2 linked regions of the Daphnia pulex genome follow. Each later gene encodes a partner of the first gene's protein in a complex. Links are inferred from orthologs where the notes say so. Each region holds a gene or a part of one and is shown in the gene's direction. Other genes may lie near its edges.

Region 1 (3,652 bases):
TGGGCTGAAGGGTTCTTCGAAAGGCATGTTGACCGAAGATGGATGCAATGACGAAGGAAAACAATCTGCGTCTGAAATGTCTTACCAGCGAAGAATGGAACAGTTACTAGCTGACGAAAACCTCTTCAGAATTGTTTTATGGCATAAGAACGAAGAGACAACTATCGCAATTGAAATGCTGGACACGGATACACACTCCAGCTGTTCAGGAGACAATCCTCCTTTGCAAGATGTGCGTAACTGGTCAAATTACGTCGAGGGCTATGTTTCAGATCGAATGGATCAAGTTATGTCGGAGAAAACCAGACGAAAAAACACGGATCCGTCGTTGATCGCAGCCCATTCCCGCGTTAGAAAACCAGTCTTCCTGCAAAGAAATCTGAAGCAATGGGAACGACGTCGTCGGAAAGATGGCACCGCTAAGGCATCGCGTTCCAAGACTTCCGGTAAGATATTTAGATATTATCTTGAGCATGTCGTGAGTGTTGCAAACCTTTAATTAAGCCAATTGTTCGCATTAATTTTGGTTGTCAATGAATGAATAATTATTTTGCATTCTTTGTATTTTGTTTTTAGATGTTCCCATGGATGTGGACGACACCACACAGAAGGACGTTACAGTAAGCGAGGATGCCCATTGTGTTTTTAACGTCAATTCGTATCAAATGGTTTTTGTGGCCAATAGCGAGAGCGTCCTGTACAAGAGACATGCATTCACTCGAGCCAAACAGGTTTGTAACCATAAAAACGTGTTTCAATTAACCAAAACAGCTACTTACAGTAGCTACACAAAGTTTCCGCACAGCTGAGAGAAGCTAATGGGAAAACGGGTTTTTTGAAAATTCGCCAAAAATCAAGTTTTCGTCGGACGAAAACGATTTTTGGACAGGGGGTTCTTAGAGTTAAGGTGTATAACATATATTTTTTGGGGATTTTTTCGTTCACGGGAACGTCCCTTTTAAATTGGAGGTAAAAGTTTCCGCACAGTCGAGAGGGCCAGTAGTAAATCGTACTACTTTGGCTCTCTTGTACTGGACGGAAAATAGGGCTAGGAGAGTTCTTTAGGGCTTAAAAAAAAGAGCATCGTTAGCTCTATAACCTCATCTGAAATGTTGACCCCCATGCAATTTGAAAAATCATTTTAATTTTGAATTGAAAATGACAATTTTCCACTTCTAGAAAAATTTCACCCTTTTCCCCCCGCGCGTAGTTGCCAGTTTTAAAAAATGTCTACTTTTGTAATCGTAGGGGGAGAAAGAAAAAGATAGCTACGACGGCAGCTTCCTCCGCTAGAGGCACTGGGGTTAAGAGGCTGGGGTAGAAAAAAATGCGAAAATTTGAAAAGCTTCCTAGCCCGCTAATTTAAATATTTTTCTACGTTTTCTTTTCCGAAAATGAAAAAGTATGATTATTTCTCATTACAAAGTATTCGTTCTAGTCGTCAACACTTTCGAAATGACTCGCGGAAAACGAAAGGATCTTTCTGTCGAAGAAAGATCTCAAATTATATCTTATCATAAATTAAAGTTCTCAGTCAGGCAAATTAGTTCTTTAACCAGCGTGAAACCATCAACAGTGCAAGACACTATAAAACGATTTAAGACTACTAATAGCTGTGAAAGTTTGCCTAGAAGTGGACGCCCGGCACTGTTAAGCCAGGCTGATAAACGCTATCTGAAGTTATGCGCTCTTCGTGATCGTCGGAAACCTTTAAAAGTGATTACCGAGGAGTTTAATATGGGTAGAAAATTTCCTGCTTCTCATTCGATTGTAAATAAAACTTTACATTCCTGGCATCTTTTCGGAAGAGTTTCTGCTCGTAAACCGCTGCTAAGTATGAAAAATATTAAAAAACGACTTGTGTTTGCAAAGAAACATGTCAAATGGTCAAAGACACAGTGGAGAAAAGTGTTGTTTACGGATGAATCGAAATTTGAACTTTTTGGGACCAAAAGAAGAATGTACGTGCGTAGAAGACCCGGTGAAAAATTCAATAAAGAGTGCTTAACACCCACCGTGAAATTTGGAGGGGGCAGCATAATGGTGTGGGCTGGAATATCAACCCAAGGTGTAACGAGAATGAAACGTATCGTGGGAATCATGGACAAAAAGATGTATCATAGCATATTGGTACACACTGCCGTTCCGGAGGGAAAACGCTTGATCGGAAGAGGATTCGTATTTCAAGAGGATAACGATCCTAAACACGCGTCCAAATACTGCCGAAATTATTTGGAGACAAAAGAAAAAGCTGGTTAGTCTTAATTTTGTGGTTCTACGTTTCCCCTTCACTAACTATTTGTTACAAACTATTTCATGTAAGGGGATCTTGTGCGGATGGTTTGGCCTCCGCAAAGTCCCGATCTCAACCCCATCGAGGCTATGTGGGACTACGTTGACAGTAAATTAGATAAGACTCAACGTTCGTCACAAGATTGCATTTGGAGGAACATTGAAAAAACCTGGAAGGCTATTCCTCGAAAAATTCTCAGAAAATATATTTTCTCCATGAAAAAAAGATGTCGAGCAGTGCTAATGGCTAAAGGAGGTCACACCCGCTATTAACATACGAATGTAGTGTTATAAGTTATTTGGGTAATAAAAGTACTTGGAAAATGCCTTTTTTTCACCTGTATAAAGTTTATTGTTCAGAGTAGAAGTAGCCTACAGAGTTAAACTATTACCCACTCACCATCAGTTTCAACAATTGAATTTAATTGTTGAGGGAGAGACTGAATGATGTTGACAATGAAGCCTTCTGCTACGAGAATTTCCCACATTTCACGAATTGCATTCCATAGATCGTCACAGTTGAATACAAATCTTTTAGCCTGCTGCAGTCTCTTCAAAATCTCTCGCCACACTTTCTCCAAAGGCATAAGGTCCCCAGATTTCTTTGGCCATTCCTTCATGACATTAATGTTGTTGGCAGCAATAAAGTCACGGACAGACTTTGCAGTGTGGACCGGAAAATAATCATGAATATAGAGTTTACTACCAGCAAGGTGTGGCAACAAATGACATCGCAACAACTTCAAATACTGGGCTGTATCTAATCTGCCATGTAGTTTTTCCAATGCTTGTACTCCATCGGCACTTGCACAGCCCCATACAGCAACTGTGTTGGGGACATTTAGTCCATGGGAACCACCATGAAAAGTTATTTGCCCACTGCTATCGAATCTACGAAAATAAATTATAACACGAATAAGTCATTTGTGAAATTGTACACTACTAAATAAACCTACGCATATCGTTGCTCGTCACCGAAACAAGCGTTGGTCCAAAATTCTCCAACAGACTGGTCTAGGTGTTTCAAAGCAAACTTCTTTCTTTCTATCTTGTTGTCGGGCTCGAGAATGGGGATGAAAGAAGCCATATTGCTAAAAGAGCAATCTCTTCAAAAAGTTAGAATTCGAATTGCCGTCAAGTCACAAACTGACAATTCACAACAAAAAGTCGTAACAAACGTCTGCTACACAGGCCTAGAATTTCAACCTTTCAGTGCCTCTAGCGGAGGAAGCTGCCGTCGTAGCTATCTTTTTCTTTCTCCCCCTACGATTACAAAAGTAGACATTTTTTAAAACTGGCAACTACGCGCGGGGGGAAAAGGGTGAAATTTTTCTAGAAGTGGAAAATTGTCATTTTCAAT
Region 2 (3,521 bases), on another chromosome or scaffold:
CTTTGGCAAAGGAATCGATAAACATTCAAACGCATCGTAGCGGACAGACTATAGATAAAGACATGGAAAATTAGTTATTGGGAATTAAAATTTCACCATTTTTAAATTACTTTGTGCCCACATGTTAAGCAACAGAGTTGACTAGCCAAGTTGCCTCTAAATGGTGAAGATGAAATTGAATGGCATACAGTAGTAGTATCCTGCTCATCAATTGATATGCCTTTGACAATTTTGCTTTTCTTGTTGATCTCTTCATCAATGGTGGTAAACAACATATTAAAAAATTCATGTGCATCCTGTTCTTCTGACTTGAGGTTCCAGCCATGCTTCTCTAATGACTGAATTAATTGCCTTGTGTTGAATAAATCAGCAGTAATTGTTGGATGCTGATTGTTTATGACTATTAATTCAAAAGATGATTATTAACAGGTGTGTGAAGATTGGGGAGAGAACAAAACTCACCAGCCATTGTCAAATTTAGGCTAGAAGTAGTTTCCAGGCAGTTTCCTGTAGCATCTGATGATGGTTTTGCCAAAATTGAATCAATCCACCAAATGAAGATGGGGCAGGACGCTAATGCCTGTAATGTGGTGTTGATGAAGCAAGTATTTCCCTCATTCACTAGGCCAGCTAATTTGTTTCGTGACTTGTTCTTCGGCTTCTTCACATTTTGAAAGTTGTCTGGCTCACCAATAGCCACATAATATGCCGCTGATGCAACAACTGCAATTGTAGCAGCCCCAGTTAACCAGTATTGTCTTACAAATGACTTTAACATTTCAGGAGTGAAACATTTTTTTAGATCATTGTATGTACACCAAACTACACCATACCATTTACAGCTCTTAATTATACAAACACTCAAAATGGGAAACAAACTTAGAAGTTAGAAAACAATTTAATCCTACGATTCAGAATTTTAGAGCATTTGTTATGAAAACGAAATATCGATTAGTTTTGCAATCGATATTTTCTCAAATCGATTCGTTCGCTACTAGCAGAAGCAGCTGTTTAGAAAGCATAGTGTCGGTTGGACTGGGGGGAAATTCGTTCGTTTTTGTTGTAAAAGAAAAAGGTATTTTGGGGAAATTGTGACAAGTTAGTGTTAGTGATTGTATGTTCATTTCATAGGAGATTTACAGCTGGTCTGCTGGTTGGGAAAAATCAATATAGGACACGTTTTGTTCAGTTTTAAGTGTGAGAAAGACTGTTATGGGAGAAATGGCATACGTGGGGTCTCCATCACGGGGATCGTCCAGTTTCCCCTACAGTCGCACAGCTCCAAGCCTTGTCGAAGAAATCAGTGCTGCACAGTTCTCTAATGTTAGAGGTATTGAAGAAGATCTAGCTCTCATCAGGCAAGGTGAGAGAGCGCAACTACAGCCTAGTGATGAAGGTGAGTGTAAAACACATTTCCAAGTATATGCTTTGCTTGCATTGTTCTAAACCACTTTTGTGAGTTTAGATACTGAAGATGCCAGTGAAACAGACCAACAGAAAAAGGAAGATGAGTACACGGAAATGAGAGAACAGTAAGTTTGAAATATCTCTTGTCCAAAGAGAGAGATTGGTTTTAAAATAACTCATCCTGTTTGTAGGATTTACCGTGACAAGTTGGCCTATTTGAAACAACAGTTAGAACAACTTGAACAAGGCCTTCATCCTGATTATCTGAGAAAATTAAAGAAGCTGGAAACAGTCTACAAAGACAGGTAATTGATTGCTTGAAGCATTTCATGTGTGACTCATAATGCATTATTCAAATCTGTAATTTAGACTGCTGCTAAATGAAGTGTGGAAGGACTATGAAATGGTAAGAGCAGAAGAGGAATATATCAGCGAAAAACAGTCGGCTTCCCGAGAACTGGAAGATAAAAAAATCGAGCTTCAAGAAAATCTTATTTCCGAGCTGGAAGAGAAGAAGCGTCACGTAGAAACGGAACGAATTACCATTGAGCTCACAGGAGACTCCATGGAAGTGAGTAATTTGGCTGACATTTCTTTTCTTTTCCATTCTTTATCCTTTCACTTTTCGTTCCAACAGATCAAAGCGCCAACAACAAGAAAACTACGTCGTCGTCCTAACGATCCTGTCAACGTCAACTCCTCCTCAGGCACTTCTGACAAAAGAAGGAAGTTAGCTCCTGCTCAATTGGCTTATCTTCTTGATGAGAATGATGTTGTGGATGATTTAAGAGCTATTGAACGTGGTGCATCTGGAGCCGCACCAACCAAGACCTCGGCAGGTGGAAATGGACCCTCGACAGTTCGAGGAACTAACAATGGCATTTCAAATAGACGGAGCAATTACAGTTCCCCAGCTAGACAATCTGACCAGTCACCATCAAGGTAATTTGATTGAATAGTTCAGAAAGAAAACAGTGAGTAAAAATTCATGTCTAATAGATCCCCAGTGCACGGCCAATCTTACGGCTACTCTGGTTGGAACAGCGGAGAGAATCAAGCAACATTCGAGGCTCGAGTTGAAGATGGAAAGCTTTTTTACGAGAAAAGATGGTAAGTTTTCCCTTTGTACTGTTATTCTCACCCTCTTGTTAATCCGCCTATGTTTTAACAGGTACCATCGAGGGCAAACGGTTCAAGTTGAAGGCAAAAAGGCCCGTTTTGCAGGTGTAATTTCCGCAATCGGAACCGAAGCGGTAATGCCAGTTTTTAAATTAGTATTTCGATTAAATGGAGACTCAATTTTAAATTTTCCCTGTTGTAGGTTTGGGTGCGTCGTCCAGCAGATGGAGGCAAAGTGAAAATTTCCATCTGGCAGCTTTGCCGAGGAAAATATACCCTCGGCCGCAAAGCTCCGTAAACTAATTAACAACGGCATCATCTACTCATTTATTTTGCGTGTATGTGTGTGTACGAAATTGTTAATTGTGACTTTAATTCCCGATTACAAAGGACAGCGTTTTGTTCCGCGCCTACGGTATCTATTTAGACCGAGGAAAGCAATATCAGACACTCGTATTTTCATAATTTATTATCACTCACTCGTCCTACACCATTTATTAAGACTAGGGAGTTTTGTGGTCCCTTTGATGTGTGTGTTAAACGGAATTATAATTCTATAGTACATGCATTTATTTTTATAAGTAGGCGTCTGTTAGTCCTGTAGGCAGTTGTGTTTTAGGCGGAATGAAGGAGAATGGAAGGCACGTTTTTCGGGTTATAAAACGGGCTCGGACCTGTCATTTAAGTGAAACATTAGAAAATCGATCGATTCTTAGAGAAAAGAATAAAATACCGATGGAGGCCGTCGTATCGAGATGACTCCGACGCTGTAAAAATAGTTAAGGCGTGAAAGTTGTAAAGAGATTAGACTCGGCGACTGGGTCGGTTTGGCACAATTGTTGTTCTCTGCCCAATTAAGGCTGACTACTTTCAACGTAGTATTTGAATCACACCAATTTTCATCAATTTGAGCGACAGGAGGAGGACAAGAAATCTGAGCACGTAGCTGCTTGATTGCTCTGCGCGCTCTGACACGGGCGAGCCATCGACGGACG

The links.
Region 2: the proteins of paired amphipathic helix protein Sin3b-like (region 1) and sin3 histone deacetylase corepressor complex component SDS3-like are in contact, whole or in part, in an NMR structure (PDB 2N2H), measured with the Mus musculus proteins. The link is inferred for Daphnia pulex from reciprocal best matches to the Homo sapiens genes SIN3A and SUDS3. Residues at the interface, in NP_001103821.1 of Mus musculus: Glu616, Glu619, Leu620, Val623, Arg672, Ile673, Tyr674, Ala675, Lys677, Asp680, Ile681, Ile691, Ala692, Ile695, Val696, Arg699, Met702, Lys703, Glu706, Trp707, Glu709, Ala710, Phe714; in NP_848737.3 of Mus musculus: Ala205, Leu207, Asn208, Tyr209, Leu210, Leu211, Gln215, Ile216, Glu218, Asp219, Leu220, Thr222, Leu223, Leu226.

Annotation. Positions count from the first base shown.
Region 1 is NC_060024.1:9,524,481-9,528,132, reverse strand, and holds part of paired amphipathic helix protein Sin3b-like, read left to right. Parts: coding exon 1-446; intron 447-576; coding exon 577-731; coding exon of another isoform or gene 732-776; intron 777-3,652. UniProt on the Homo sapiens protein: Acts as a transcriptional repressor. Corepressor for REST. Interacts with MXI1 to repress MYC responsive genes and antagonize MYC oncogenic activities. Also interacts with MXD1-MAX heterodimers to repress transcription by tethering SIN3A to DNA.
Region 2 is NC_060026.1:2,507,286-2,510,806, forward strand, and holds sin3 histone deacetylase corepressor complex component SDS3-like, read left to right. Parts: upstream 1-998; 5' UTR 999-1,212; coding exon 1,213-1,396; intron 1,397-1,465; coding exon 1,466-1,532; intron 1,533-1,598; coding exon 1,599-1,712; intron 1,713-1,776; coding exon 1,777-1,978; intron 1,979-2,044; coding exon 2,045-2,349; intron 2,350-2,406; coding exon 2,407-2,517; intron 2,518-2,578; coding exon 2,579-2,660; intron 2,661-2,728; coding exon 2,729-2,824; 3' UTR 2,825-2,972; downstream 2,973-3,521. Other genes in the region: ubiquitin carboxyl-terminal hydrolase 30-like, read right to left, coding at 1-48, 111-400, 463-778; unconventional myosin-XIX-like, read right to left, coding at 3,102-3,200, 3,260-3,521.